Linked DNA regions of Drosophila melanogaster. The protein of the gene in region 1 interacts with the protein of each later gene in a pairwise test. Each region holds a gene or a part of one and is shown in the gene's direction. Other genes may lie near its edges. The genes, in order: cry, per, ninaC and tim.

Region 1 (6,602 bases):
GTAATGTAGCGAAGCATCAACACAAACACAGAGACGGTGTGGGCGGTATGTGCTGCTGCTGATTGCACAAAGGATGCCCCTCAAGTCCTTGGTGACGTGTTGAGCGAAAGAATGAAACTAGCAGCCTGTGCCCGGCAGTTCAACGGAAGATCCAGTGCACCTGAACTGGGAACTTGCTGGCTGAAAGATAAATTATGGCATGGGATAACCCGACAATGGCTGAACATTTTGCTTTCCGAGAAGGAAACCTTGGGAAAGCAGCTGCACTAAATAAAGGAAATCCCTTTGAGGGCATGGTCCCACCAGACACAGGAGTATTAGGGAGTTTTCCATCACAATTTACAAATGCAATTCGCAGGATACAGGATCTTTTCCAAGCACAATGGAAACTATGGTAAAGCAGCGGCGATTGAAAAAGTAAAAGCCCTTTCAACGAGTGGTCCCATCTGGTTTATGAGAAATCATATTTAATTTTCTACATGACATTTTATCAGCCAATGTTCAGTAATTTTTCACAGAACAAACTATGAAAGGCTGTCCGTAATCATAAAAAATTCAATTTCGAGGAAATGGTGAGAACTTTGTAAAAATTGGTACCACCTGGCGTATGGGTAAGTGGGTATTCCTTTGCAAGGGACAAGTTCTATTGGAAAAGTTCGACCTGAACGTAAATTAAATGCCAACTATACGAAAATGTCCATGTCAATGAAGTGAAAATTGTGAATAGAAACCCACCTGGCGTATGAGCAATATGAGTTCTTTGAGTATAAGTAATTGTATTTGCTATTCTCAATCTTTAAATTTCCGAAATTTCAATCCCAACCGAGGAACGTAAATTAGTTTCATAAAAGCTAACAAGGCAAGAAAAATTCTTTTGTCCAAAACCTTTCGACTTCACTTCATTGTTCATTTGACCCTGTTTCACTCTGCCTCTGCCACTGTTCCTTTCCCCCGCCCCCTTATAATCCTGGTTTTGGCCATAGTCCAGCCACAGAAGGCTCATCATCGTCGTCGTCATCATTTGAATTCCTCGCCCGATTGTTGCAAGCAGCGCCTGTCGTTGTTGTTGTTGCCAGGACACGTGCATCGGCGAGCTTTGCAGTTGACATTCCGTTACGCACGTTGCCTCCATTTGGTCCTTGTTCTTGTTTTTACTGCTGCTGCTGCTGCTGCTGCTGCTGTCGGTGTCGTTGTCGTTGTCTAGGCAACATGCAATGTGCAATGCTAAAGTTTTTGTGATGCAAGTGCGTAGTTTACTCACAATAAGGCTCGTTGGGACTGTCCAGCGATGTTGGGTATTCGACGTGCGGGGATTTTTTTTTATGGGGGAAAAGCTCACTCAAAGTTGGCAAAGGAGCTGTGGCCCATGCTCGGGTTAACTAACTATGCCAATGCAGGACCATAACCAAAAAGTGCGTCACTACCGAATATTAGCTACTCTATTATATGTTCAAGTGTATTTGGTTTTTCGAAATATTGATAGGAGAATACTGGTATCTAGAATTGCTCATCTTCCATCTTCATCTTTTTCTTACCAAAATAGCTATTTCCAGTATAATTTGTAGAAGAACTAACCAGGAATGGGCTAACCTACTTTTGTAGTTAGGGCGATACTTACTTGCTTTACAAATGAATGTCTGCACAGCACAAATCAAATAATCAATAAATCTTATAACTATTTAAACTTAAATGTATTTACTCATAATAAACAACCAAGTAAATATACCCAAATAGGTAATTATTACTTCAAAGTGATAAGTATAAGCATGCAAACAGCCCATCTCGATCCCACTGCAGAGTTGAGTGCTTGCAAAAGCTCGTCACGTCATAAGCGGCAACAGTTGGGTTCAGTTTCTGGTTCTGTGTGCTCAGAACGCAGTGCCCCACTGTGAGAGCGAAGGGAAGAAGGGGTGGGACAGTCAGCTGGGGGTCGATTCGGGGTGGGGGCTCGGCTCGTTCTCGGCGCAGAGCTAGAAGTGCAGGCAACCGTGGGCAGAGTGCCACACTTATGCTCACACAAGCACCCAAGCACACAGTCGCCCCTTCGCACACACACACACACACACATACAGATCGACAGCTTTGTATTGACGCACTTGAACGGGCTGTTTCTAGTTACCGATTCACAGTACACGCTTCTACACTGGGAGAAAATATGCATGTCCGCAAAATCCTTATCAACTCTCGAATCTTTTCTCGCAGCCATTATAACGAGTTTTAATACTAAATATGCATAGAAATTCAAAATATAAACAATAACAAAAACAAAAACGATATTTGGATGTTATAGAACACTCTTAGTTTTAGCCTGCGTTTGGTTTTGCCCAACTTAAACTTTGGTTATAATATATATAATATATGGAAGTAAGTACTTTTTTTCAGTGTGCGGTTCCCACAGGTCTCTTTCTCGCCATCTCTGTTGCACTCACCGTACTTATGCGATTCATTTTAGCTTATAACGCCGAACACGGGGAACGTTGAGCTGCAGTTGTAGAAACGTTCTCAGCACTCAAATTTCGCATTCACATTCTCATTCGTCAATTAGTTGCCGGCGCGAGCGAATCGTGAGTGCGGAAAAAAGAAAATCTTTTCATCAGCTGGAAAACTGTTCTTCCCGATCAAAACTGGGATTCGGGAGATTTTTGAAGCCCAAAAGCAGGGAACTCCTCACTGATGGCCACGCGAGGGGCGAATGTGATTTGGTTTCGCCATGGATTGCGCCTCCATGATAATCCCGCTCTATTGGCCGCCCTCGCCGATAAGGATCAGGGTATAGCCCTAATTCCCGTTTTCATATTCGATGGAGAGAGTGCAGGTAAGAACTGAGTTTTCGAAAATTTTATTTCGTTGCGCACACATACATGTAGGTATCCAAATTAAATTGATTACAGGTAACCTTGAACTTACCTTGCACTTTCCTAAGTTATTACTTCAAAACTTTTATATGAGATATGGATATCTCATGGAGATATATTTAAAATATTAAGATAATCTTAAAATAATTAATAGATAGCAAAACATCAAAGATAAAATATTATATCTATATATATTTGCTCATACAAAATCATCAGAAGTTTGTGTAAAAATAGATTTTTGGAAAGAGTTTGAAAATTCAACAAAATTAAAATAAAAAACCGTTGGCAACAGAGGGTTAAAATAAATACTTTTAGTTTGATTGCTATTACACGCTCATTCTCCGTATGAGCTAATATCATTTTTTGCGACTTGCATCGGTTATCACATACCACCTCTTTCCGCGACCGCTGCGAATTCAGCGTTTTCGCTGCTTGTGAAAATGGAAAGAGGGCGAGAGCTGCAGGGGCGGAAAATGGAGGGAAAACCTAATGCACTTTTGCATGGTAGAGCAAAACAAACGATGCGCCCTAATGCCATTTGTGGCTGGCGGTTTTGAGAATTTTCCGTCGAATCGCTGGGAGAGAGATATAGAAAGACAATGCAAAATGGGTAGAGACATTGAGTGCAAACCAGAATAGCAGTATAATGCTTGTGTTTAAACAGCTCGCTCACGGAAAAAGTCGGCGAGAAACGGGGATACCTATAGAACCCATCACTTGACCGATAAGCGTCGTTTTGTGGGTAAAAGCGTGAAAACAAATATTACAATGGAAAATGGGCTAAACTGAACCATTTGTTTGCACAAAAGCTGAAAATTTATCTAAAAGGTGGCACTTAAACACACAAACTTGTTTTGAATTCCTAGTTTTGCGAAAATTGTGCACGAAAAAACTTTGAAAATGCATAATTTTTTTTAAATTTATAAATCTTATAAAACCGTTAAATGCTCTTCCTTAACAGGTACCAAGAATGTGGGTTACAATCGGATGCGTTTCCTCCTGGACTCGTTGCAGGACATCGATGATCAGCTACAGGCGGCAACTGATGGACGTGGACGCCTCCTGGTCTTCGAGGGCGAACCGGCTTATATCTTCCGCCGGCTACATGAGCAAGTGCGTCTGCACAGGATTTGCATAGAGCAGGACTGCGAGCCAATTTGGAATGAGCGCGATGAAAGCATCCGTTCTCTATGTCGGGAGCTGAATATCGACTTTGTCGAGAAGGTATCACACACGCTTTGGGATCCGCAATTGGTGATTGAGACCAATGGTGGCATTCCACCGCTGACCTACCAAATGTTCCTGGTGAGTTTAAAGCTCAGTTCTCTAGTTATAATATTCTTTTGAGAATATATCTTTAAAATAAATGTAAAAATATAACTATCTGAAAATTATATAGTCACTGAAAGATACTAATTATTTACATCAAATTATATTTTCGTTTATTTTATTATGTTTTAGCACACGGTGCAAATTATTGGGCTTCCACCGCGTCCCACCGCCGATGCTCGACTAGAAGACGCCACCTTTGTCGAGCTGGACCCCGAGTTCTGCCGAAGTCTTAAGTTGTTCGAGCAGCTGCCCACGCCGGAGCACTTCAATGTGTATGGAGACAACATGGGCTTCCTGGCCAAGATTAACTGGCGCGGCGGAGAAACACAGGCCTTACTTCTGTTGGATGAGCGTCTTAAAGTGGAGCAGCATGCGTTTGAGCGTGGATTTTATCTGCCCAACCAGGCACTGCCCAATATCCACGACTCGCCAAAATCGATGAGCGCCCATCTGCGCTTTGGTTGCCTTTCGGTACGTCGCTTCTACTGGAGCGTCCACGATCTCTTCAAGAATGTCCAGTTGCGCGCCTGTGTGCGGGGCGTTCAGATGACTGGCGGCGCGCACATCACGGGACAGTTGATCTGGCGAGAGTACTTCTACACCATGTCGGTGAACAATCCAAACTACGATCGCATGGAGGGCAATGACATCTGCCTGAGCATCCCGTGGGCTAAGCCGAACGAAAATCTCCTGCAGAGCTGGCGTTTAGGCCAAACGGGATTCCCGCTCATCGACGGCGCCATGCGACAACTCCTGGCCGAGGGATGGCTCCACCATACGCTGCGCAACACCGTGGCCACCTTTCTCACGCGCGGCGGTTTGTGGCAGAGCTGGGAGCATGGACTGCAGCACTTTCTGAAGTATCTGCTGGATGCGGATTGGTCGGTCTGCGCTGGCAACTGGATGTGGGTATCCAGCTCGGCGTTTGAAAGGCTGCTGGACTCCTCCCTGGTCACCTGCCCGGTGGCATTGGCCAAGCGACTTGATCCGGATGGCACCTACATCAAGCAGTACGTCCCGGAGTTGATGAATGTGCCCAAGGAATTTGTGTAAGTTTATATAATGAAAATTCCATATAACAATTTAAGTACTTAGATATAATAAAAATACTGATGGTATACTTGTCGTATACGCAATATATGATGACTCCTTTGTCGTCTTTACTTATGATTCGTTAAAGTGTTCAACAATCTCAAGCAACCATTTGAACTATATATATTTTTAATTCGTTTATTCGTGCTTTTGTTATATTTTTTAAATTATAAATCCCATTTTATATTTTCAGTCACGAGCCCTGGCGAATGTCTGCCGAGCAGCAGGAGCAGTACGAGTGCCTGATCGGAGTCCATTATCCGGAGCGGATCATTGATTTGTCCATGGCCGTAAAGCGAAACATGCTGGCCATGAAGTCTCTCCGAAATTCGCTGATCACCCCGCCGCCGCATTGCCGACCATCCAACGAGGAGGAAGTGCGTCAGTTCTTCTGGCTGGCCGACGTGGTGGTTTGAAGGAGTACAAGTGGGATGACCAATCCAATTTTAATTCGATTTCACAATAAAGAAACTATTACCAGTGAAATATTATATATAATTAATAATGCTTTATTTTCTTCAATTAAAATAAGTACTACAATACAATTTGTATCCGTTTTATTTGGTTTCGTTTTACTTTTAACAGCTTATAACGTGTTACTCATATATCAATTTTATTCAGCTTATTTTAAAAATCGTTTATGGTGTATATATATATAATTATTATTATCATCTGTATTACGTTGTCAAATTATACGTTAATTAACAGCATTAATTAAATAGTTTTTGCTTTTAATTGGGTCTTTCATACGAGAAAAATTGAACGCGAAGTATTTCAAATATTGAAATTTATTTTATGTCGATCTATTGATCCTGGCTTCGTTTGCCTTTCGTTTAATGAGAGATTCTATCTTTATAATTTGTCTAAATTGTTGTGTATATTTTATTTTAATGCCTAAATTTTGGTGTTCCTTCTAGATGTGTGCCTTTCGAATGAGATATTGGTAGGGGTTGATGGGACCTAAAAGGAGTTATTGTTGAAGTTTGAGTCCCTCGACAGTTTGCTACAAATAAAGTTTGAGAAAATCTAAACTCGACCACGCCGAGCTTTTCGCTCATTCCCCTACCAGCGACTTAATCGCAATAGTCCTTTGTAGGAAGTAAGCATTCGTTTTAGACATTCGACATCCTGCGAATTAGTTGAAGTAAATTCGAGTAAACATTTAGAGCGTTGCTTGGCAAAAAGTTATTTTTCTGGTAAATGTAAATTTCACACACACACACATTGCGTAATATACGATAGCTGAATAAATAATGGAACCAACCAATTCAATCAACAAACGAACAAGGAAGGAACGAGAACTCACAGAAAATAACAATTTGA
Region 2 (9,128 bases), on another chromosome or scaffold:
TGTGATGCTTTTTCAAATCGAGAGCGACAGCAAAAACAGAAGCCCACTAGATATGCATTTAACTAAAGTAATAACTAATGTACATATAATTTTTTATAGATTTTATCATACTACCTAATAACCGTTGCATGTCTGCTACCTTGTTTTCCCCCTCGAAGCAGATGTTAATCCCAACTTGGGATTAAGGTTCTTCAAAAGTTTCGCGAAAGGCGTTGAAATTTCAACGCCTTCGTCGTCCTACAACGGGCCATCTCCGATTTTTTCACGCCTTAAACTGTGATTTTTTCTAATTAATTAACGCAGAATTTGTTGGTGGACTAGGGAAGAGTTAGCGGACTTGGGAGTACGCAATGCGCAGACTCCGAAGGGCGGAGTTAAGTGCTAAGTCAGAGGAATTTGGGGTTGGTGCGGCCCGGGCATTTACTTGGCCGGGAATATTCCGGGCACAGCGACGTTACTTCAGTTCAGCGGGGCAGCTGAATTCTAATGTGGACATTTTGAGGATAGCGAGACCATTCAGTGCAATCTGTAGGTGCTCCAAGGCCAAGGACTTCGTTTAAAGGTCTGCTTCAAGTCCACCTGATCTGAGCCCCGTATCTGTTATATTCCTTCATAAGTTGCCAACCGAGCAGCTCTAAACGAGACTTCCCAAGGAAACCTAGTTTGGAGAATATGACACTATATTTCTGATATTAATTTAAACTGTTCATTACATTGATATAATTTTTTTACAGACATCTATCTCATCAGAAAGTAGTCAAGTGCTGAAGTAATTTCACTTGAGCTTGTATCTCCGTTTGTGCTTACAGTTCAACGCTGGGACGGAATTGTGGTGCCAGTAATGCCACCTGATGTGCTACGTCCATCCTCTAATCGCAATCCATATTCATGGGTCCACAGGTCCTCGGACCTACGCCACTTGGACGTTGAAAGGGTGGGCCTTGGGAACTCGGCTCTAATCCCGCTCACAGTCCGACCGACACTCACCCGAAATCACCACCCGGAATCCGATTAGCGGCAATCAAATGAAATCACAGCACATCAAAACGCGACGGGGAGTGGCGAAGTGCGGCAAGTCAACAGTCGCAGCATCAAAATCAAATTAGCAGCAGTTTGGTGGCTAATTCGAACGCACTTTATCATTTTCGGGCAGGCGTCTGTGACTTTGTGGCACGTGTGTGGCCGCGATAGATAAGAGCGAGCCCCAGCAAATGCCAGCAAACTCCGGCTAGCTTGGGCAAACACCACACACGTGGCCACAAAGGAGCTGCGTGTGGAGTGGGTGCCGGGTCAAATGGATTTTCACACCCACTCGACGTCGGCAAAGCCGCCAATTAATAGAATTCAATTATTCAAAGCCACCGCAGGCCGATGGGACGGCTGATAAGGCATAAAGACATCCTTGGGCACTTCGATCGGATTAGGATAATAAAAAATGCTCCGAAAAAAAAAGAAGTTGTGGGGTCCATAAAAATATGCTTTTATGAGGGGGTAGCTAAAATCATTTCCTATTTATCAGATGCCTCAACTTTTAACCCTTCAATTGCGAAGACTAAAAGCCAAATTCAATGCACAGAAATTGCAAGTAATAATCATTTGTAACTGCATAGCAGTAGTATCAGCATCGAACCGAACCACTCGACCGCTCGGAGTTCATCAACCCCTCGTGGAAAGACGGGGAATCCCCTGCTGGCAGGTATGTGTAACGCCACCTGTGGGCCACAGCGCGCAACAGCCAGCTGGGCGGAGGCGGAAAAGCCAGGGAAAATCAGCTGTCGCTATCATCCCACTCCGTACGTGTTTCAGCGCACGCCGCGCACACCTGCCCAGGTAGAGCTTCCACGGGACAAACGGGAAACAGAAGCCCCCAAAAGCTTGGCGCCACTTTCAACTTTTCATCCGTGCTAGAGAGCCGAGCTGCTAGACCGATGCACTGCGTTGACTGCGGACTGGCGCTCTGGTGCACTGCTGGCCGCACTTGGACGATGACCAGGTGGGTGGGTGAGTAATGCCGTTGCGAAATGCCAGTGCCAGTGCGAGTTCGCACAATTCATGGTGGGGCAGGGACGGGTCCGAGTGCAAAAAGCGTCCGAGAAAGCCGTAGGCAGTGAAAAGCCGCCGCTCACGTGGCGAACTGCGTGACTTGGCCAGCAAATCCGCCGCCCAGCCGGCTCCCCGGAAAACACCCCTCGGAAAACGTGCTGCCAGCCGCCCACCAGGCAGCCCCAAAAAGGCAGGGGATTCCATAGCTTTCCTTAACCTGCAGTTGGTGCGTGGGGCTTGGATTGACACTTGGCATCGGCAGTGCCATGTAACGTATCCCACAGCATAGATAAAAACCAAAAGAAACTAGTATTCAATAGAAGCTATGAAAAAGAAAGATATCCAACATTATAGCAATCTATAAATGGGGTTTCTTGCTATGGAAAAGGGAGTCTTTGGCATTCCAATTACTTGCTTTTGTTGTTCGCGCAAAAGCTTCGCCCAAGGGTTAATGTTTGGGTCCGAGTATCTCAGCCGACCAGCGATTTCCCGAGCGACTGCGATTCCCAGCGATTCTCAGCGACGGCGGAGAGCAGCGAGTGAGTGTGAGAAAATTCTGGGAATGCGAGTGCACGGGGGCTTATACACCGGAGCTTGCGATGCGAGCACTAGTGTTCGTGCGAATTTAGAGCCAGAAGGTCGACAACGCGTTCGTCGCACAGTAGAAAGTATTGCCATATACCAAATAAATCGCAACAACGACCTGTCGAATCACGCAAACAAACAGCTTCGTTTTTTTTTTTTTAATTTCGACCAGAAACAAACCGTTATTCTTTGGTGCCAGTGTTAGTGTCAAGTGTATCGAGCTGAGTGACATATAGCCACAGCCAAAAAGTGAGACCATAAGTGAGATTCCAAACAGAAGGCAGCAGCAGCCTAATCGCAGCCTAATCGCAAAAAAGTGCAGCTGGGTGAGAGCGAGAGCGAGTGTGTAAGTGCAATTGTCACGTTGTTGCAATAAAGCTGCAAAGAAAAATCTCAGCAAGAGGCGCTAGATAGACCATTATCATATTGCCAATACAAAACAACGCATTGGGCAGGCAGCTTACATAAATAACTCGGTTCATAACGTCCAATGGCGCACTTACACATATGTACATATAGTGTTTATTAATAAGTGCACGTTGCACACCGAGCAAAGCGTAAACAAAAGCCCACATCAAAATACCTGACCCTACCGAACAATGCTCCGGGAATGCCCCACCACTTCCTTCCTTGCAGTGCCAAACAAACATACTCTGGCCGCAGAATACGCATACGCAACGTGGTGCACCACTGCAGCCGCTTGCCTTCCGGTCACCTGGAGTGCAGTACTGCAGCACACTGCGCCTACGTGAAGTGAACTCATTCATATATGTAGCTACATAGCTCTAATCGATGCCCGGCATCCAATCTGGGTCAGAGCATATTGCGCATACGCAGCGTGTTCCCTTTTGGGCATTGCACCTTGGTATTTTCAGCTTATTTGCTGCACACACGCCACGTGGGCGCAGTAATTTCTGGCAAATTTGGAATGTCTATTAAAACCCCTACGATTTGGATAGCCGCAGTCGCAGTCGCGTTACACAAGCTAAACAGAGTACCACCATTAATAGCTCAACGTTCCCATTCGTGCCCCGAATTTTCCCACAGTCTTTCCCAGTATGTCTTGCCCCCGGGTTATGCGACTGTTATCCATGTCTGTCGCGCTTCCTGTGCTGCATTATCTAACATCCTCGGAATGACGCACGACCAATGTAATCCAGCAATCCAGAGGCATCGCGGCGGATTCGATTCGACCAGTTGGCCTTCTTGCTTTGCTGCGTCAAAGTTCACCCACATATGGGATGCGAACTGGGTTAACCAGCGAGTTACACAATCCTTGGTGGGTATAAACTGAAGGATTTGGGCAGATTGAGCAGTCGGTTGGAAGCCAGTTTGTTGGGCAAAAAAATGGTATTATCCAATGGAATTTTTCACCTTCTTTGGAATTCTTTCTTCTTGAATTCTGGGCCGTCGAAACAACTATCAGCTTGTTTACTTGGCCCATTTGGTTATCTTTGCTTTTAATGGAAACTCTGAAGAGCCTGGAATGGGGTCCACCCTAATGCCTGTGTGTCTGTGTAGTATTTTTGGGTTTAGTTGATTCAGCCAAATCGGAGAGAATGAACCTGGGTCTTATGCAATCGCTGAAACCGAACTCCTTGCCGAATTGAATGCTTGCTATATGCACCGATTACGACATAGTGGTGCATTGTGAGAAATATGAGTTCTTCGCTGCGTTCTTTTTTTGTAATTGCAAAATTGCTGAAAAGAATGTGTCTTCTACTGAGGTACAGGGTACATGGTTCTGAACTACACACTACACGTATCTAAGTATCTAAGTACGTATCTGCGAATCTGGAGCCGGGATGCATTGCGACTGCATAACGACATCCGTTGGCGGAGCGGCAGAGGCAACGCGAGAGCAAAAGCACATCGCACTGCACGTGAATGCAGCGTCGCGCCGTCTCGCTCTCGCTCCCGCTGCGCTGTTAATTAGCACAGTGAAGCCTCGTTGCAGGCAACCACCGTGTGGGCGACATTGTTCTCTATCTATCGTTCTGAGTCTGGGCCGGGCAGAGAGTATACGATTCAATCAATGGCCACCATGCAGGTGCAAGTCAAGGTGACAATTTCACAACAATGCTCCAGCCAATTAGGACTAGAAGTTATCCAAGCCATGATTCATGAACATGAATGGCAGGCAGTCGGAACACGTGCAACGCCTGGTTTCCCCCCCATCATCCATTCGCTTGGCCTAGAAGATCCTAGAAAGCGTTGGTGGTTAGCTGGGCGGCACAATACTATTGGCGAGCAACGTGAAGACGGTAACGAAGCAACATTCGGAATTTGAATTGGATTCTAGAGAATCGGGGGGGTTTGCGCGTCGCAGCCCGGTGCCGCAACAGATTTCGTGATTCATTTCATCACCCGGCCGAAGTGAAACTACTCACAACGCAATCGACTCACGTTGATGCAACAGCGCTGCTCTGAATGAATCCGGTGCAAATAGAATCCGCATTGTAGTGGTTGGTCATTCATTCAACGGATACTCAGTAGTCACGGAATCTCCTCGAAGGAAGGACAAACATAGATACATAGGTTCATCATAGAAGTGAAATCAGTTAGTTAGTTATTTAGTTACCCCCATTCAAGGTCCTATCAAGGATAACTGAAGTGCTAATGGTCATCATACGATTTTCCAGAATCTCGCACTAGTCAACCAACTGGGCAAGCTGGAGAACCTAAGCACCATGGAGGGCGGCGAGTCCACGGAGTCCACACACAACACCAAGGTGTCCGACTCGGCCTACTCGAACAGCTGCAGCAACAGCCAGTCGCAGCGCAGGTGAGTCCATTTGATGTGCTCAATCATGCGAGTAGTCTAAACGATCCATCCCCTTTCCAGTGGCAGCTCCAAATCCCGCCTGAGCGGCAGCCACTCCTCCGGCAGCAGTGGCTATGGGGGCAAGCCCTCGACGCAGGCCAGCAGCAGCGACATGATCATCAAGCGCAACAAGGATAAGTCGCGCAAGAAGAAGAAGAACAAGGGCGCCGGCCAGGGGGCGGGGCAGGCGCAGACCCTGATCTCGGCGTCGACGAGCCTAGAGGGCAGGGACGAGGAGAAGCCGCGGCCCAGCGGCACTGGGTGCGTAGAACAGCAGATCTGCCGAGAGCTGCAGGATCAACAGCACGGCGAGGATCACAGCGAGCCGCAGGCCATAGAGCAGCTGCAGCAGGAGGAGGAGGAGGATCAGTCCGGCTCCGAGTCGGAGGCGGACCGAGTCGAGGGCGTGGCCAAGTCGGAGGCGGCACAGAGCTTTCCGATTCCCTCGCCGCTATCCGTCACCATTGTCCCGCCCTCGATGGGCGGCTGCGGCGGAGTGGGCCACGCAGCCGGTCTGGACAGCGGGCTGGCCAAGTTCGACAAGACCTGGGAGGCAGGTCCGGGCAAGCTGGAGTCCATGACCGGGGTGGGCGCAGCGGCGGCGGGCACAGGGCAGCGCGGGGAGCGGGTGAAGGAGGACAGCTTCTGCTGCGTCATCTCCATGCACGACGGCATCGTCCTGTACACGACGCCCAGCATCACCGATGTCCTGGGCTACCCGCGCGACATGTGGCTGGGCAGGTCCTTCATCGATTTTGTGCACCTTAAGGACCGCGCCACCTTCGCCAGTCAGATCACCACGGGCATACCCATTGCGGAATCCAGGGGCAGCGTGCCCAAGGACGCCAAGAGCACCTTCTGCGTGATGCTGCGTCGCTACCGGGGACTCAAGTCCGGCGGATTCGGCGTCATCGGCAGGCCCGTCAGCTACGAACCCTTCCGCCTGGGGCTCACCTTCAGGGAGGCTCCGGAGGAGGCGCGACCGGACAACTACATGGTCTCCAATGGCACCAACATGCTGCTCGTCATCTGCGCCACTCCGATCAAGAGCAGCTACAAGGGTGAGTATCTGTGCCCGTTTTGGTTTCATCCAGCCATCTAACCATCGATCTCTGCCCCCCCCAGTTCCCGACGAGATTCTCTCACAGAAGAGCCCCAAGTTCGCCATACGCCACACGGCCACCGGGATCATATCGCACGTGGACAGCGCGGCGGTCAGTGCACTGGGCTATCTGCCGCAGGACCTGATTGGCCGCAGCATCATGGACTTCTACCACCACGAGGACCTCTCAGTCATGAAGGAGACCTACGAGACGGTAATGAAGAAGGGTCAGACGGCGGGCGCCTCCTTCTGCAGCAAGCCATACCGCTTCCTCATCCAGAACGGTTGCTACGTCCTTCTGGAGACCGAATGGACCAGCTTCGTCAATCCATGGTCCCGCAAGCTGGAATTTGTCGTCGGACACCATCGCGTCTTTCAGGGTGAGTTCGCGTGCCGACCCAGTGATCCAATGATCCTCTAAACAGGTCATTTCACCTTCCAGGACCCAAGCAGTGCAACGTCTTCGAGGCGGCGCCCACATGTAAGCTGAAGATATCGGAGGAGGCACAGAGCCGGAACACGCGAATCAAGGAGGATATCGTGAAGCGCCTGGCGGAGACGGTGTCCCGTCCGTCGGACACGGTCAAGCAGGAGGTTTCCCGCCGCTGCCAGGCGCTGGCCAGCTTCATGGAAACGCTCATGGACGAGGTGTCCCGGGCGGATCTCAAGCTGGAGCTGCCGCACGAGAACGAGTTGACCGTCTCGGAGCGGGACAGCGTGATGCTCGGCGAGATTTCGCCGCACCACGACTACTATGACAGTAAGAGTTCCACCGAGACGCCGCCCAGCTACAACCAGCTAAACTATAACGAGAACCTGCTGCGTTTTTTCAACAGCAAGCCGGTCACGGCGCCGGCGGAGCTCGATCCGCCCAAAACGGAGCCGCCGGAGCCGCGCGGCACGTGTGTCAGTGGCGCCAGTGGTCCGATGAGTCCCGTCCACGAGGGCAGCGGGGGCAGTGGCTCCTCGGGCAACTTCACCACCGCCAGTAACATACACATGAGCAGTGTGACAAATACGAGCATTGCCGGCACTGGTGGCACGGGCACTGGTACAGGTACAGGTACTGGAACTGGAACTGGAACCGGGACAGGAACTGGAACCGGGACAGGAACTGGAACGGGAACAGGTACAGGCACAGGCACAGGCACTGGAACAGGCAATGGAACAAATTCCGGCACCGGAACCGGCACCGCCAGCTCATCCAAAGGCGGAAGCGCCGCCATACCGCCAGTCACGCTGACCGAATCCCTGCTCAATAAGCACAACGACGAGATGGAGAAGTTCATGCTGAAGAAGCACCGCGAGTCGCGCGGACGGACGGGTGAGAAGAGCAAGAAGTCCGCCAATGACACCCTTAAGATGCTGGAGTACAGCGGTCCAGGCCACGGGATAAAAAGAGGAGGCTCCCATTCCTGGGAGGGAGAGGCCAACAAGCCCAAGCAGCAGCTAACCCTGGGAACAGATGCGATCAAGGGAGCGGCAGGAAGTGCGGGCGGAGCAGTCGGCACTGGCGGTGTGGGATCAGGAGGAGCCGGTGTGGCGGGCGGAGGAGGATCCGGAACAGGCGTAGCAGGCACACCAGAAGGCAGAGCCACAACGACCTCGGGAACGGGGACACCAGGTGGAGCCGGAGGCGGAGGCGGAGCAGGAGCGGCAGCAGCGGCTGGAGCGTCCTCCTCCGTGGGCAGTTCCACGCCAGGACCCTCGTCCTATCCCACCTGCACGCAAAACATAAACCTCTGGCCACCGTTCTCGGTGGGCATCACACCGCCCGTTCACTCCACGCACACGGCCATGGCCCAGAGCAGCTTCTCCTCCGCCGGCCTCTTCCCGACCTTCTACTACATCCCCGCCTCCTTGACGCCCACCAGTCCCACGCGCTCTCCCCGGATGCACAAGCATCCGCACAAGGGTGGCACGGACATGCCCACCACCTCGCAGCAGGCGGCTGCCGCGGCCGCCCAGGCCATGCCGCTGCAGTACATGGCCGGCGTGATGTACCCGCATCCTTCGCTTTTCTACACACACCCGGCGGCGGCCGCGGCCACGGCCATGATGTACCAGCCGATGCCCTTTCCGGGAATGGCCAACGCTCTCCAGATTCCCGAACGTCCGTTGGGCTCCCAATCCGCGTACAACAAGTCGGTGTACACGGTAAGTCAGTGGCCGGTGGTGCCTCACCGAACTGTCTTAACTCCAACTCCAACTCCATACTCGTCCATAGACCACGCCGGCGTCCATGACGAAGAAGGTGCCGGGTGCATTCCACTCGGTCACCACTCCTGCCCAGGTGCAGCGTCCCTCCTCGCAGAGCGCATCCGTCAAGACGGAGCCGGGCTCCAGTGCAGCGGTATCCGATCCCTGCAAGAAGGAGGTGCCGGACTCCTCGCCCATTCCCTCCGTGATGGGCGACTACAACTCCGACCCGCCCTGCAGCAGCAGCAATCCCGCCAACAACAAGGTATGCTATACGAATGAGGTCCATTGGTGATTGGTCATTATGAAGAACATGGTCTCATCCACAGAAATACACGGACAGCAATGGGAATAGCGACGACATGGATGGCTCCA
Region 3 (9,131 bases), on another chromosome or scaffold:
TCTACTATCAGCGCTCGCCCAACTTTTGTGAGCGCGATCTGGGAGCTGATATACAGGGTGAGTTAATGTTCGTACTATAACATTTTCATTTTCCAATTATTATACTCACTCAATATTCAGCTTAAACATCTTATCAGTTTAACGTCCTACCCACATAACCATTACTTAATAAGTTAATTTACAATTTTGTCGTTAGAAAATGCGTTGCAACTAATTAAAAATGATTTACCGATACGAAGCGAGCGATAAATTTGATTTGGCTCTAATAAATAAATCTCAAATGCAAATGAACAACGCCAGCAACCGCAAATGCAGCAAAAATGTATTTTTCTTTTTTTTTTTTTTGGTTTGTGTTTTAAACGGGCTACCAAACCTGCCACATAATTTACGAAAAAAATGCGACAGCGACGCATGCGCACAGCAGCTCAGCTTAGCTTAGCTCAGTTTGGATCGGATCGGATTGGATTGGTTCGGATCAGCTCAACTCAGTTTGGATTGTATAAAGCAGTGGCGGAGACTGAAAATCTGAGGGGGGTTCTTATTTGACATTCTTAAAATAAAGGTTTTTGATATGTTATCTAAACTACAATTGGCCGAAACATACTAAAAGAAAATCGTTACTTTTTATGCTTGGAAATGAGTTTGGGTTAATTGTATCCCCTCATTTCTCCCCCCTTGCTTGTACTCTGGCTTGGGGGATCGGTCGAAACTGCGGCACGTTCACATCGAAATCGACGTCTAACTGCCACTTGCAATTTTCGTTAGCCATTTTGCTGTTGACACATTTGCAAATTATCAAGCGTCGCTGCTGCCCCGCCAACTGCCAGCAGTTTAAAAGTGTTAATTACGACGCAAATTTATAATTAATCGTCGGCTTAGCCCGGTAACTCCAGCTTCACTTCAAGCTCCAACTCAGGCTCCAACAGCAGTGAACTGGGGAGCAGCCAGCCCATCGGGCGTTTTGATTCATGTGTCCGTGTCCGGTGTCGTGTCTATTCAAATGATAGCAATTAACGCTGGCAATTATCGTCGGCCAAACAATTATGATACTTTGTTTGTGCTTTAGTTTAATAGTTTATTTATGGTCTTTTAATTGCTTGTCCGCCAGTAGGCGGGATTAACTGCCATTTGGCGATGGATTGCATTTGATGAGAACACTTAATCATTTGCTAATTACGCAAATCTTACACCACTAATTTTATTAACTTGTTATTTTTATATTTTAATAGATACCACATAATTTTCTTTTCTGATGATTATATCTTTAGAAAAACATAAACATGACTAATCTGAGCCAATTTCCGCACAGGCACCGTGGGACGCAAGTGCAATCGGAACACCACGACCAGCGACGGATGCACCTCCCTCTGCTGTGGCCGTGGCCACAGCCAGGTCATCCAGCGGAGGGCGGAGCGGTGTCACTGTAAATTCCAATGGTGCTGTAATGTGGAGTGCGAGGAGTGCCACGTAGAGGAATGGATTAGCATATGCAATTAAGGACAATGGACGCAAGACGAAGGACGATGAAGTGATGGAGCGATGGAGCCTCAGCCACATGCATAAGAAAAGACTTTTCTTCATTCTCACAGAACTTAACACACAAAGAAATCAGTATTACAGAAAAAAAAACATAAAGTACGCAATAGGGCAAACATCAATAAACAACGTGTGTGAATGCAATGCCTAGTTTAGCAATCTCCAGCCATTTGGAATACGTATAAATATATTTTGTAAATACGAACAATAAGATGCATAATTAGTCTGTCAATCAGCTGACTTTCACTCGCATTGCCAATTTCCCTTTCACCTCGGCATTTTGGCCATCTGTGTCGCCGCTTTTTTCACTTGCACGTGAATGTCGCCGCCGCTAATTGAATTAGCCAGCTAAATAGTTGTCCAAGGTGTGCACCCAGGTACTGCCCATTGAATGGCTTCCTTCCTTGCCAGTGAAAAGCCTCCGATTGCATTGGCCCATCATTTAGTTGGCTAACGGCAGCGGTACGTGCTGCATGCGTGCGGTCGGTTCGAAGTTCCACACAAGTACATCCTTGCAACCAAAAATACACAGCTGCAGGATAAGTGTGCCAATCTGCGGCAGCGAAGGTGTGTCCTGAAGGATTAAGTGTTTGAAGCCCTGTGAAGTGGATATAATACAAATAACCCCCTAGAATCCCTTTATCCAAAGTTGCTGATTCAAAATACAAACCTAGGAAGGATTAATTACCAAGGATAAATCGTACATTTAACTTTTTCGTTTTCACATGAATTATTTAAGTGTTTTATAGAAAATGGTTTTATTATAATTTTACATTTCAAAATTGCATCTTATTTGTTTAAAGGTCCTTGAAATCTTTCGTGCTTGCAAAGCAAACATTCCAAAATATCCTTACGTTAAGTAAACCAAAGTAACTTAACTTTCACCTTTAAAGAAAAAGCAAATTGTTATTAGAAGCAAAAGATTACAATGAAACCTCTAGAATGCCCATTCTTAAGTGTTTTGCAACAATGAACCCAAATATAATGCGATTTGCATGAGGGAAAATTGAAAAAGAAAACCTTTGAAGCCCATTTTATGATAGACCCAATTCCCAAGTTTAACCCACATGTTCTTCGAATATTCAGAATAAGCATCTAAGTCATGATGTATTTACCGTACGCGCAATTGCCGGATCCTACGGATAAATTCGAGATCTACGAGGAGATAGCCCAAGGCGTCAATGCCAAGGTTTTTCGGGCCAAGGAGCTCGACAATGATCGGATCGTTGCCCTGAAGATTCAGCACTACGATGAGGAGCACCAGGTTTCCATCGAGGAGGAGTATCGCACTCTGCGGGACTACTGCGACCATCCCAATCTTCCCGAGTTCTATGGCGTCTACAAGCTGTCGAAGCCAAACGGACCTGATGAGATCTGGTTTGTCATGGAGGTGAGTCAAAACATTTTGTTAATATTTTATTAAATTTTTTCCAAAAATTTAAATCCAATTTTTTGTAATTTATATAAACCATTTGAATATTTCAGTACTGCGCTGGGGGAACAGCAGTGGACATGGTTAACAAGCTTTTGAAACTGGATCGTCGAATGCGAGAGGAGCACATCGCCTACATTATCCGGGAGACTTGCCGTGCTGCCATCGAGCTGAACCGTAATCATGTCCTGCATCGGGACATTCGGGGAGATAACATATTGTTGACCAAAAATGGACGGGTCAAGCTGTGCGATTTCGGTTTATCCCGTCAGGTGGATTCCACTCTGGGCAAGAGGGGCACCTGCATTGGATCTCCCTGCTGGATGGCTCCCGAAGTGGTGTCCGCCATGGAATCCCGCGAACCGGACATCACCGTTCGTGCCGATGTCTGGGCCTTGGGAATCACTACCATTGAGTTGGCCGATGGAAAGCCACCGTTCGCTGACATGCATCCCACTAGGGCCATGTTCCAGATCATTCGCAATCCACCGCCGACCTTAATGCGACCCACTAATTGGTCGCAGCAGATCAATGATTTTATATCCGAGAGTTTGGAGAAAAATGCCGAAAATCGGCCCATGATGGTTGAGATGGTGGAGCATCCATTCCTCACGGAGCTCATCGAAAACGAGGACGAGATGCGATCGGACATCGCAGAAATGTTGGAACTCTCTAGGGATGTAAAGACTTTGTACAAGGAGCCGGAATTGTTCGTGGACCGCGGCTATGTGAAGAGGTTCGATGAGAAGCCGGAAAAGATGTATCCGGAGGACTTGGCTGCCTTGGAAAATCCCGTGGATGAAAACATAATCGAGTCACTGCGTCATCGCATTTTGATGGGGGAATCGTACAGTTTCATTGGCGATATCCTTTTATCCTTGAATTCCAATGAAATCAAGCAGGAATTTCCGCAGGAGGTAAGTTGAAAACATCTAATATGTATACTTAAATATGTTATATTTATCCTTTCTCTAGTTCCATGCCAAGTATCGCTTCAAGTCGCGTTCGGAAAACCAGCCGCATATTTTCTCGGTGGCCGATATCGCCTACCAGGATATGCTGCATCATAAGGAGCCGCAACACATCGTGCTCTCCGGAGAGAGCTACTCGGGCAAGTCCACAAATGCCCGGCTGCTAATCAAGCATCTGTGCTACTTGGGTGATGGAAATCGTGGGGCCACCGGGCGCGTGGAGAGCTCCATCAAGGCCATCCTGATGTTGGTGAATGCAGGAACTCCGGTAAACAACGACTCCACAAGATGTGTCCTACAATATTGCTTGACCTTTGGAAAAACCGGCAAAATGAGTGGGGCCGTTTTTAATATGTATATGCTGGAGAAACTACGAGTGGCCACTACGGACGGAACCCAGCACAACTTCCACATCTTCTACTACTTCTACGACTTTATTAATCAGCAAAATCAGCTTAAGGAGTACAATCTGAAGGCTGATCGCAATTATCGTTATCTGCGAGTTCCGCCAGAGGTTCCGCCATCGAAACTCAAGTATCGTCGTGATGATCCCGAGGGCAATGTGGAGAGGTACAGGGAGTTCGAGAACATCCTGCGGGACATTGATTTCAATCACAAGCAATTGGAGACCGTTCGCAAAGTTTTGGCTGCCATTTTGAACATTGGCAACATCCGTTTCCGGCAGAACGGAAAGTATGCGGAAGTGGAGAACACGGACATTGTGTCCCGGATCGCCGAGCTCCTCCGTGTGGATGAGAAAAAGTTCATGTGGTCTCTGACCAACTTCATTATGGTCAAGGGCGGGATCGCCGAGAGGCGACAGTACACCACTGAAGAAGCTAGGGATGCACGCGATGCGGTGGCCAGCACGCTCTACTCTCGATTGGTGGACTTTATCATCAACAGGATTAACATGAACATGTCCTTCCCACGGGCTGTGTTGTAAGTAATATTAAAAAAAAAGTTACAAATTCATAAGTTTAACAATGTGGCTTAAATAACTTTTTAAGCGGAGACACAAATGCCATCATTATTCACGACATGTTTGGATTTGAGTGCTTTAATCGAAATGGTCTGGAGCAACTAATGATCAATACTCTAAACGAGCAAATGCAATATCACTACAATCAACGTATTTTTATCAGCGAAATGCTGGAAATGGAAGCTGAAGACATTGACACCATCAACTTGAATTTCTATGACAACAAGACAGCTCTGGATAATCTGCTAACCAAACCGGATGGCCTGTTCTACATCATTGACGATGCCTCACGCTCCTGTCAAGATCAGGATTTGATTATGGGTATACAACCAATTCTGGCACCACTTTGGATATGTGATTTAACCACTTTCCATCTACAGATCGCGTTTCGGAGAAGCACAGCCAGTTTGTGAAGAAGCACACTGCCACTGAAATATCCGTGGCTCATTACACGGGCCGCATCATCTATGATACGCGCGCCTTCACCGACATCAACCGGGACTTTGTGCCGCCGGAAATGATCGAGACCTTCCGCTCCTCGCTGGATGAGAGCATCATGCTCATGTTCACCAATCAACTGACCAAGGCTGGCAATCTCACCATGCCATTCGAGGCAGTGCAGCATAAGGATGAATCTGAACGGAAGTCATATGTAAGTCTGTCACAGTTTTTATTAGCTAACCTAAATTTGGTATATTTTTGTAAACTATGCATTTCAGGCCTTGAATACCCTAAGTGCCGGATGCATCTCCCAAGTGAACAATCTACGTACCCTGGCGGCCAACTTCCGCTTCACCTGCCTGACCCTGCTCAAAATGCTAAGCCAGAATGCAAATCTCGGCGTGCACTTCGTTCGCTGCATTCGCGCTGATCTGGAGTACAAGCCCAGATCCTTCCACTCGGATGTCGTCCAGCAACAGATGAAGGCCTTGGGAGTTCTGGACACTGTTATTGCTCGCCAGAAGGGATTCAGCTCGCGTCTGCCATTCGACGAGTTCCTAAGGCGGTGGGTAATCGATTCCATTCCAGTTTCCATTTAAAGATTTCTAAATATTTAAAATATTCGTATTAGATACCAATTCCTTGCCTTTGACTTTGATGAGCCCGTGGAAATGACCAAGGATAACTGTCGTCTATTATTCTTGCGCCTCAAGATGGAAGGCTGGGCCTTGGGCAAGACCAAGGTGTTTTTGCGCTACTATAACGATGAGTTCTTAGCCAGGTGAGCTATCAATTCATACGCATTGAGAAAAGCAAGTACTATCAATTGCTTTCAGATTGTATGAGCTGCAGGTGAAGAAGGTCATCAAAGTGCAGTCCATGATGCGAGCTTTGCTAGCACGGAAACGAGTTAAGGGCGGCAAAGTTTTCAAATGTAAGATATAAATAATACTTATACAGTATATGGTATGAAATCTAATTTTAAATTCCCTATTAGTGGGCAAAAAGGGACCGGAGCATCATGATGTGGCCGCGTCCAAAATACAAAAAGGTAAAAAAACGCAGGTGGATAGGCTAAGAGAGTACGACGAGGAGCACATCGACATAAGCGAGACGCCCTCGGAGGCGGAGGAGATGTTCCTCGAGGCCAGAATGGATGAGGCTCTGGCAGCGGTGCGAATAGCCAAAATCGAGCAGGCCTCCGCCGAGGAATAGGCCCCTACTATATACCATTTATACACACTATATCACTATATCGATCGATACTAATCGTAATACGACTACCAATAAAATGTAGAAAACGCAAACAACCAGCTATCATCTAGTCTAGGGCCTCGGCAAACCACTTAAGCCGCTTAGTGGTGTCCAATGTGGATACCATCCCACCCCATCCCGCTGGGCGGTTGTGTTCTCCATCTGATGCAACCAATCGGCTTATAGCTGTCTGAGACATAACACTTAACATCGACGGCCCCTGCGAAAAGAGATGAATTATAAGTGCTGCGTAGAAAAGAAATGAAAATTTAATTAAATTAAGGTGACTTCCCTCTCATTCACCACCACCGTCCACCGCCGCGACCGCTTTTCAAATGGGTTACTCTAACGGCCTTCCTCCGTTTCCATTTTCCCACAGCCTTCAGGGGATTCCGCGACCGCGTCCGCCTCCCTCCGCTGGTCAACGAGAAGTCCGGCCAACTAAACGAGAACACCGCCGACTTTATCCGTCCGTTTGCCAAGAAATGGCGCGAGAAGTCTATCTTCCAGGTCCTCCTGCACTACCGCGCGGCTCGCTTCCAGGACTTTGTCAATCTCTCACAGCAGGTGAGTTCAAATCTCTTATCTTCAAATCCAATATATATATATATATATATTATATTATGTACCAGGTCCACATCTACAACCAACGAATGGTGGCTGGCTTGAATAAATGTACTCGGGCTGTGCCCTTCGAGAGGATCAATATGCGCGAAGTGAACTCCTCGCAGCTAGGACCACTGCCAGTGCCCATAAAAAAGATGCCATTCCGCCTGGATCAGATACCCTTCTATGACACCCAGTATATGGTGGACCCGGCCAATTCCATTTCCCGCCAAGCCTTCCCCAATCAGCTACTAACGCAGCACATGGAGGACGATGAGCCTTGGGACAGCCCTCTGCAACGCAATCCTTCGATGACTTCTTGTGCCCTGACCTACAATGCCTATAAGAAGGAGCAGGCTTGCCAGACCAACTGGGATCGCATGGGCGAGAGCGACAATATCTACAATCAGGGCTACTTCCGAGATCCCCAACAGCTGAGGAGGTTAGCAAAGATACTCAAAGGTTGAACTTAAGTTTCTAACACTTTTTTTCAGAAATCAAATGCAGATGAACATGAATGCCTATAACAATGCCTACAACAGCTATAACAGCAACTATAACAACCAGAACTGGGGCGTACATCGATCCGGATCCAGGCGCAACTCCTTGAAGGGCTATGCGGCGCCTCCACCTCCTCCTCCACCAATGCCCTCATCCAACTATTATCGCAATAATCCGAACCAGCAGCAACGCAACTATCAGCAAAGATCCTCGTATCCTCCGTCGGATCCAGTTAGAGAACTTCAGAACATGGCTCGCAACGAGGGTGATGTAAGTGTATGTCAATTTCCTAAGGAAATTCTTCAGATATTTTCTTTCCAGAACTCTGAGGATCCACCATTCAACTTCAAGGCTATGCTGCGCAAGACTAACTATCCGAGGGGATCCGAGACCAACACCTATGACTTTAACAATCGCCGCGGATCGGACAGTGGTGACCAACACACGTTCCAGCCGCCCAAGCTACGCTCGACAGGTCGCCGGTACCAAGACGATGAGGGCTATAATTCATCATCGGGAAACTATGGTGTGTCTAGGAAGTTTGGCCAGCAGCAGAGGGCTCCGACCTTGAGACAATCTCCAGCCAGCGTGGGTCGCAGCTTCGAAGATAGCAATGCTAGATCCTTCGAGGAGGCAGGATCCTATGTAGAAGAGGAGATTGCACCTGGAATCACTCTTTCAGGCTATGCCGTCGATATCTAAAACTAGTGATTAAGAGTAAAAATATTAAAATTAATTGTTATGCAAACCATAAGACAATTTAGCTAAAACCCACCTAAAATTCCAAAATAATGATTGAAGTTTTCTTCATCACTTTCTCAAAAACGTTTCACACAATGGAATAAATAAAATGTCTTGGGATAAATCGTTATTTAAATTTTCACTTTTTTCTTACCGCATTTCATTTTTCTATCTCTATAAACCACTTAATTATTTAGGTTATTTGTAGGTAAATGCTACCTTGGCATACTCAAACATTTAACTTTAAAGACATTGATATAAATTCAGCAATTAATTTGCATTTTATTGACGTAGGATAAAAATGGGAAAAATTCGACGAATTAACATTGCTTATTATGCTTGCTTCTTTGTTACATCATTTAAATGATTTACTTTTCTCACTTTAAGATCTAAAACGCAACAACAATACTCTCAGTATTTCATAAACTATATCCATTATACATTGTATATATAAACATTAATACCTAAACAAAAACGTTTATAGGAATGGATTGAACAAATACTCTTTTGTTCGCAGGACTTTTTTTGTGTGTTCGATAGGGATTGCAAAAAAGCTAAGGAAACTGAATTGAATCATTAACTGCACACCCATATCGGGCATGGTCTCACAAATTCTCGATGATAAAACAAAACTTTTTCCTTAAATAGTTTCACATAATATCAATCA
Region 4 (6,130 bases), on another chromosome or scaffold:
TTCGTAGTGGTAAAACGGCAGATCGCCTGAAAGTGCGACTCGGAACCAGCGAATTTGCTCGCAGTGGCCAACTTCTGCGGGTGCAGAAGATCGTGCAGCACGCCCAGTTCAACTACACCAATGTGGACTACGATTTCTCGCTGCTTCAGCTAGCTCATCCCATCAAGTTTGACGAGACCAAAAAGGCGGTCAAGCTGCCCGAGTCTCAGATGAAATACATGGACGGGGAAGCTTGCTTCGTGAGTGGTTGGGGCAACACCCAGAACCTGCTGGAGTCCCGCGAGTGGCTGCGTCAGGTGGAGGTGCCTCTGGTCAATCAGGAGCTTTGCAGCGAGAAGTACAAACAGTACGGCGGCGTCACCGAGCGAATGATCTGTGCTGGATTTCTGGAAGGCGGAAAGGATGCGTGCCAAGGCGATTCCGGCGGTCCGATGGTCAGTGAATCGGGCGAGCTGGTGGGCGTGGTTAGCTGGGGCTACGGTTGCGCTAAGCCCGACTATCCGGGTGTCTACTCAAGAGTAAGTTTCGCACGGGATTGGATCAAGGAGCACAGTGGTGTCTAGATTCGTATATCCTGCACAGTTAACATAGTTTGAAATCAATTTCTTCCTATGCGATTGCTTTGACTAGATGTATTTCAAATACCCGCAATAAAAAATTATCAAACGATGCCAACCAATCCGATGGAACCATTTCATAATGCGCCGCTTCAATAGAAGGATTCGCACACGTTGCCAGCACGCAGCCAGCATTTCAAACACGCGACCCTCCAGGATATCGCACACTTCGCCGGCGCATGTCGCGTTGTTGGAAATGAGTCTACTTGGCCACGTTAAGAGGATGTGTCGGGCTGCACGAGTCCTTGGCCGTTTGTGAGGGATGGAGTGGGCATCGCATCTAATTGTTTTGCTTTTGATTGGGAGGCTTATCAGCCAACTTTCATCGTGACTGTCCACCGTTCATGTGTTACATGCGGCGTATACGCAATTACTTGCATTACGTATACGTAGGGACAAGTTTTTGTGCATTGGCGTGGCTTACTTTGCCGCTGAACGGACTCCGCCATTGTTGTGTTTGCTTAGTGATAAATTAGCTTACAGAAATTAACATCAGGCGTTGCATAATTCAGATGTATGTACTTGCATAGCCTTGGCATTGGCGAAGTGATCGCACAACTTACGTTGAGTGGAAACTTTGGGCGGATCGGCTGAAGTGGTCTAATCAATGCTATGTTCTTACATTGGCACTTTCGTTTTTCTCCATTCACTTTGCAGCAATGGATATATAACTTAAATATTATTTGCAAAAAATAAAAAAATTAATTCATAGTTGAAATGTATTCAATCAAAATCTGCTCCTTTATATTAAAAATATAGTTAGATTGTCACCTTTTACAAAAGTCTAACCATCTAATTAACAGCATTATTAATTTGTTTCTTTTTTTTGTGACAACTAATCTTCTTATTGAAATAATAGAATTTGATAGTCTGGGTTGAATAACATTTTGACGTCAAATCGCCTATTGTGAGTGAGTGACTTCGTAAAATGAGAGTGTCAGTTATTTATTTCTATCGCCCCAGTCCGAGCAAAAGTATTTTCCTAAACCTCCGTTTCCAGTCGATTTACCACCGCGATTCGGTGCCGACGTGCTGCAGCTCGCGCCACCGTGGAAACACTCAAAGTAAATATATACGCTCCCCACAGTATACGCATTCAATGAGCCCGGTGCGTATACGCCGCGTGTGCCCGCGCCTGCAACCAACTGTTGATTCCGTTCCCAAAAGGATTATTCAACGGATCATCTGAGGCACTCAGAGCCGAACAATGTCACCCTGACGAAGCCTACGGCAGAGTCGTTCGAAGGCGGCGTCAAAAACGTTTAACTTTACACTGAAAAAAATATTGGTTTTAATGTGAAACGTCTGTGAGGAATACAGTACAGCAGCAGACAAAATAATATAATATTTATGTATGTAACAAAATATGTCATTGAATATATTATATACATATAAACGTGAGTGTTGTATAATCAAAAAAAAACGTAGTTTTGAAATCATTTATATTAATTATTTTGCACACTAAATATATACATTTATTAAATAAAGTAAAGTAAAGTATTAAAGTAAAGTGAAGTCTCGTTATTGAAGATACCATTTGGTAAAGTGACACACTTTTTTTTTTTGAGTGCACAGAAACGTTCTGACTATTGCTGTTGTTCCCAGACTGTTCTCCGTATTTTCCGGCGCTGGTTATTCATGTTATCGAACATCGTAGTGGCGGTTGGCAAATAAACGTGCGGCACGTTGTGATTACACGTGAGCCGATTTCCCCGGCCGTCCGGCATTGAGTGCGAGCGGGACGGAGCAGCGCGGCGAGAGCTTTCGGCTAGCGTCTTTCGTTCGCACAAACGCCGGCAGCGGCACGTTGGCCCTGTGTGAGTGGGTGTTTCGGTCAGTGTGTGTATCTGTGAGATGCATTTTGTATCTGACTTCGGTGAGCTAGCCGTAACTCAGATCGCATTCAGCATTGTGCGTTCCAAGTAAGCGGTTCGTTGAGCGGTTCGAAGTTTATCAACAAAATAGAAGTTTCGAAAATAAATATCTCTTAAATAAAGAAAATTTAATAAAGATATTTTGCTAAAATAATCTTGAATACTTTTGTGAATTCATGCAATAATATTTATTAATTCACATATCAATAATCTTAAAGAGAGTGCTTACATGACTCACTGGTCTTTCTCTCAGTGTTTAGCCTAGATTGCAATCGAAAAAAGTGCAAATTAATTGCTATTGAAGTTGCATTTTACATAAGCCAACAACGAGTATAAAGAATTTTTTGTGCAGTGTTAACAAAGCAAAGTTCACAAAGTGTTAAATAAAATTGCAAATCCTTAACAAATTTTTCATGAGTGGTTAAAATCTTAATATTACCAAAAAAACTGAATTTACCCTAACAAATATTCTTAAAACTACTTTCAGATATAAAACAAAAATAATTTCATCAGTGTATATAACAGCACTGAAACTATAACACGATCTATTCTGCAAAGAAACCCAAAAAGTGCTCAGAAAAGCTCAATTGCTTAGAAACATAAACAATCAGCTTTAATTGTTGATTGCAATTCGGCTAAAACTAAAACAGTAAAATTGTCTGCGATAGAAAAAATTTAAATAATTGGTAAGAAATATAAACCACTAGTATATTTAACATTACATAGCTTAGACCTGACCTAACACAGTTCGTTATCAGTTGACCCCTGACAAAATTACACTTTAACAAAGCTTTCTAAAAAGTAGCTTTAAGCGGCGACATATTCAAGCAATTAAAGCTTGCACAGAAAGAAAACCCATTTCCACATGAAAACGAAATCACATAATACTGGGAAAATGAAAACAAGTTAAAGGGGCAATTTACGAAGCACAACAATTCTCCGTTACAATTCTTATGTAAAAAGCACGCAGTGAACTGTCAAAAAAGGAGGCTTGGCCTTCCACGGAATTCCTGTCAGAAACAGGATAGCGAAATAAGTACGGGAATCGTCCTGAAACTGACAGATTTCATCCTGGCACACAGATGTTCAGTGGTTTCTGCTCGTTTAGCTAGGATTTTAACGACCCTCAGATGTATTTGCATTGCAAATTCAAATCTTAAATATTTATTCGTGATCTATCTTTGCTTTCCGTTTCAAATGCAAATTCAACCTCGCTTCAATGAATTTCCCCTTTGCGAAAGAATGAAAATTGTTTTCACTCTCCAAGAAAAGTAGATACTCAGCTCGAAATTTCAATGCGCATATCATTTTGTAGTTCTCGCCTTGCGTTTTATGTAAGTTGGGTCTTTGATTTCATAACCAGTCAGCGGAAATGGTATTGGGGTTGCTAGAAACGTTTCACAGATACAAAGATGCTCAGATGATCTATGATTTCGGATGGTGCAAAAATTATGCTCGACCAACAAAATTCGATATTAGTTTCAGTAGAAATATCTAAGTAAAATTTAAAAGAAAAGTATTTTTATTTTTTTTCTCTTAGATATCACTGTTTTCTTATTAATTATATTTTTTAATATTTTCTATAAAATGTCCATAATTTATTGTCCCTCAATTTACACACAATTAAATCTCCCTTCTTAGATATAATTTCCTATTGAGCATTATTACATTTTAAAACAATTTTATAGTAAATCAGCTAGGCCATAAATGGCTTTGTAATTTTAAAATTTTCTCAACTGTTTGCGCTGTTTATTTTCCGCTCTTGGCCATTTAGCGTGCCATTTAACGTGTTCGCCCAAAAGAGGGCAACGAAAACCAATGCAACTAAACTGCATTCGCTTTAATGGCCAAATATAGCACGAAACATTCAAAGTCAGCAGGCTGGAAGCCGCACAAATGCCAAATCCTGCATCCCGATTCATGTCCTATAAATATCGCTACGGGTGGTCGGCTTTTCCGACTGCAGGCTTTGTTCCTCCGGAGTCCCGTAGTCCGTAGTCCGTTTGCGAACCCAGTGGCTTTGTCCTCCAACTGTGTTGTTTACACAATCAGCCCGGATGTCTGCAAGTGAGTCACATGCGGCCACCGGGTGCCGCAGTCGCCTGTTGAGGATTTGCCTCGTTACGTGATGGCTGAAGGTTGGGCTCCCCCCTGTGTGGGGGGGGGGGGTGGTGGTGTTTGCCAATCCAGCCCACTTTTTCACTTTCCGGACTGGCAAGTGTGGCTTCTGGGAACTTTCGGGGCTCGTCTGGTAGGCAGTTTCCTTGATTCGACTCGCAACGGGTGGTAAATGGGAGACGTGCTGTGCGGACACGTGTGTGAGGTGATGTGGAATGGGAGTTGATTCGGGTTTCATCCCCGAGCGGCTGCAATTGCAGCACATTGCATGGACTGCGCCCTTGATGGTCACATGGGTGGCGATTTTGTTTGCGAGTGCAAATATTTATGGGAATCATTTGTGGTTGCGTAATGCCCTGGAAGACGATGGGTTAGTGACCTTAACATATTTTAAGGTGACTGTTACAGCTTACAAAAATGCCATAAATTTTTCACCATTTCACATCTCAGTTTAAATGTGTAATATTATTTAAATTCACCTCTGGTACCACGTTAAGAATATTTAAGTTTTAATAACAATTAAATATACATTTTTGTTTACTTATAGTTACAGATACCGCGCAAATGGCTAAGAAGTACCTCAATGTTCGCAGTCGACAATGAGCAGAGTTAGGCAGCTCCACAATCACATCTGGAATAATCAGAACTTTGATAAAGTGAAATCGGTTATGGACTGGTTACTAGCAACTCCGCAGTTGTACAGCGCGTTCTCCTCCTTGGGTTGCTTGGAGGGCGATACCTATGTGGTCAACCCGAATGCATTGGGTGAGTAATCAATATAGGACTACTACATTAATTAGGTATTTAACTTATTTTCAATCCCCAGCCATTCTGGAGGAGATCAACTACAAGCTCACCTATGAGGACCAAACACTGCGCACCTTTCGACGGGCCATTGGATTTGGCCAGAATGTGAGGTCAGACCTGATACCGCTGCTGGAGAATGCCAAGGATGATGCGGTCCTGGAGTCGGTCATCCGGATACTCGTCAATCTGACGGTGCCGGTGGAGTGCCTCTTCTCCGTGGACGTGATGTACCGCACGGATGTGGGTCGCCACACCATCTTCGAGCTGAACAAGCTGCTGTACACCAGCAAGGAAGCATTTACCGAGGCCAGGAGCACCAAGAGCGTGGTGGAGTACATGAAACACATACTGGAGTCGGACCCTAAGCTGTCGCCGCACAAATGCGATCAAATCAACAACTGTCTGCTGCTGCTGAGAAATATCCTGCACATTCCAGAGACGCATGCCCATTGCGTGATGCCCATGATGCAGTCGATGCCGCATGGCATCTCCATGCAGAACACGATCTTGTGGAATCTCTTCATCCAGAGCATCGACAAGTTACTCCTGTATCTGATGACCTGTCCGCAGAGAGCCTTCTGGGGAGTGACCATGGTGCAACTGATTGCTTTGATCTACAAGGATCAGCATGTGAGCACTCTGCAAAAACTACTTAGCCTCTGGTTCGAAGCCTCTCTGTCGGAGAGCTCTGAGGATAATGAGAGTAATACCTCG

What was found.
Region 2: the proteins of cry (region 1) and per interact in a two-hybrid assay, tested with the Drosophila melanogaster proteins (5 studies listed by BioGRID).
Region 3: the proteins of cry (region 1) and ninaC interact in a two-hybrid assay, tested with the Drosophila melanogaster proteins (one study listed by BioGRID).
Region 4: the proteins of cry (region 1) and tim interact in a two-hybrid assay, tested with the Drosophila melanogaster proteins (5 studies listed by BioGRID).

The regions. Positions count from the first base shown.
Region 1 is NT_033777.3:19,209,668-19,216,269, forward strand, and holds cry (cryptochrome), read left to right. Parts: upstream 1-2,486; 5' UTR 2,487-2,673; coding exon 2,674-2,815; intron 2,816-2,891; exon of another isoform or gene 2,892-3,060; intron 3,061-3,816; coding exon 3,817-4,160; intron 4,161-4,316; coding exon 4,317-5,236; intron 5,237-5,472; coding exon 5,473-5,695; 3' UTR 5,696-5,775; downstream 5,776-6,602. UniProt on the Drosophila melanogaster protein: Blue light-dependent regulator that is the input of the circadian feedback loop. Has no photolyase activity for cyclobutane pyrimidine dimers or 6-4 photoproducts.
Region 2 is NC_004354.4:2,682,927-2,692,054, forward strand, and holds the start of per (period), read left to right. Parts: upstream 1-2,653; 5' UTR 2,654-2,974; intron 2,975-5,270; 5' UTR 5,271-5,318; coding exon 5,319-5,413; intron 5,414-5,473; coding exon 5,474-6,513; intron 6,514-6,577; coding exon 6,578-6,934; intron 6,935-6,996; coding exon 6,997-8,711; intron 8,712-8,781; coding exon 8,782-9,018; intron 9,019-9,082; coding exon 9,083-9,128. UniProt on the Drosophila melanogaster protein: Essential for biological clock functions. Determines the period length of circadian and ultradian rhythms; an increase in PER dosage leads to shortened circadian rhythms and a decrease leads to lengthened circadian rhythms.
Region 3 is NT_033779.5:7,375,763-7,384,893, forward strand, and holds ninaC (neither inactivation nor afterpotential C), read left to right. Parts: upstream 1-1,939; 5' UTR 1,940-2,103; intron 2,104-2,622; 5' UTR 2,623-2,638; coding exon 2,639-2,926; intron 2,927-3,021; coding exon 3,022-3,885; intron 3,886-3,943; coding exon 3,944-4,881; intron 4,882-4,949; coding exon 4,950-5,242; intron 5,243-5,301; coding exon 5,302-5,573; intron 5,574-5,640; coding exon 5,641-5,927; intron 5,928-5,993; coding exon 5,994-6,143; intron 6,144-6,198; coding exon 6,199-6,296; intron 6,297-6,359; coding exon 6,360-6,413; coding exon of another isoform or gene 6,414-6,577; exon of another isoform or gene 6,578-6,995; coding exon 6,996-7,183; intron 7,184-7,248; coding exon 7,249-7,664; intron 7,665-7,716; coding exon 7,717-7,993; intron 7,994-8,044; coding exon 8,045-8,425; 3' UTR 8,426-8,582; downstream 8,583-9,131. Other genes in the region: Wnt10 (Wnt oncogene analog 10), read left to right, coding at 1-57, 1,310-1,497; CG5149 (uncharacterized protein), read right to left, coding at 9,125-9,131. UniProt on the Drosophila melanogaster protein: Required for photoreceptor cell function. The ninaC proteins combines putative serine/threonine-protein kinase and myosin activities. Essential for the expression and stability of the rtp protein in the photoreceptors.
Region 4 is NT_033779.5:3,503,605-3,509,734, reverse strand, and holds the start of tim (timeless), read left to right. Parts: upstream 1-2,516; 5' UTR 2,517-2,539; exon of another isoform or gene 2,540-2,546; intron 2,547-2,978; 5' UTR 2,979-3,177; intron 3,178-5,156; 5' UTR 5,157-5,208; coding exon 5,209-5,374; intron 5,375-5,435; coding exon 5,436-6,130. Other genes in the region: CG31954 (uncharacterized protein), read left to right, coding at 8-563. UniProt on the Drosophila melanogaster protein: Required for the production of circadian rhythms. The biological cycle depends on the rhythmic formation and nuclear localization of the TIM-PER complex. Light induces the degradation of TIM, which promotes elimination of PER.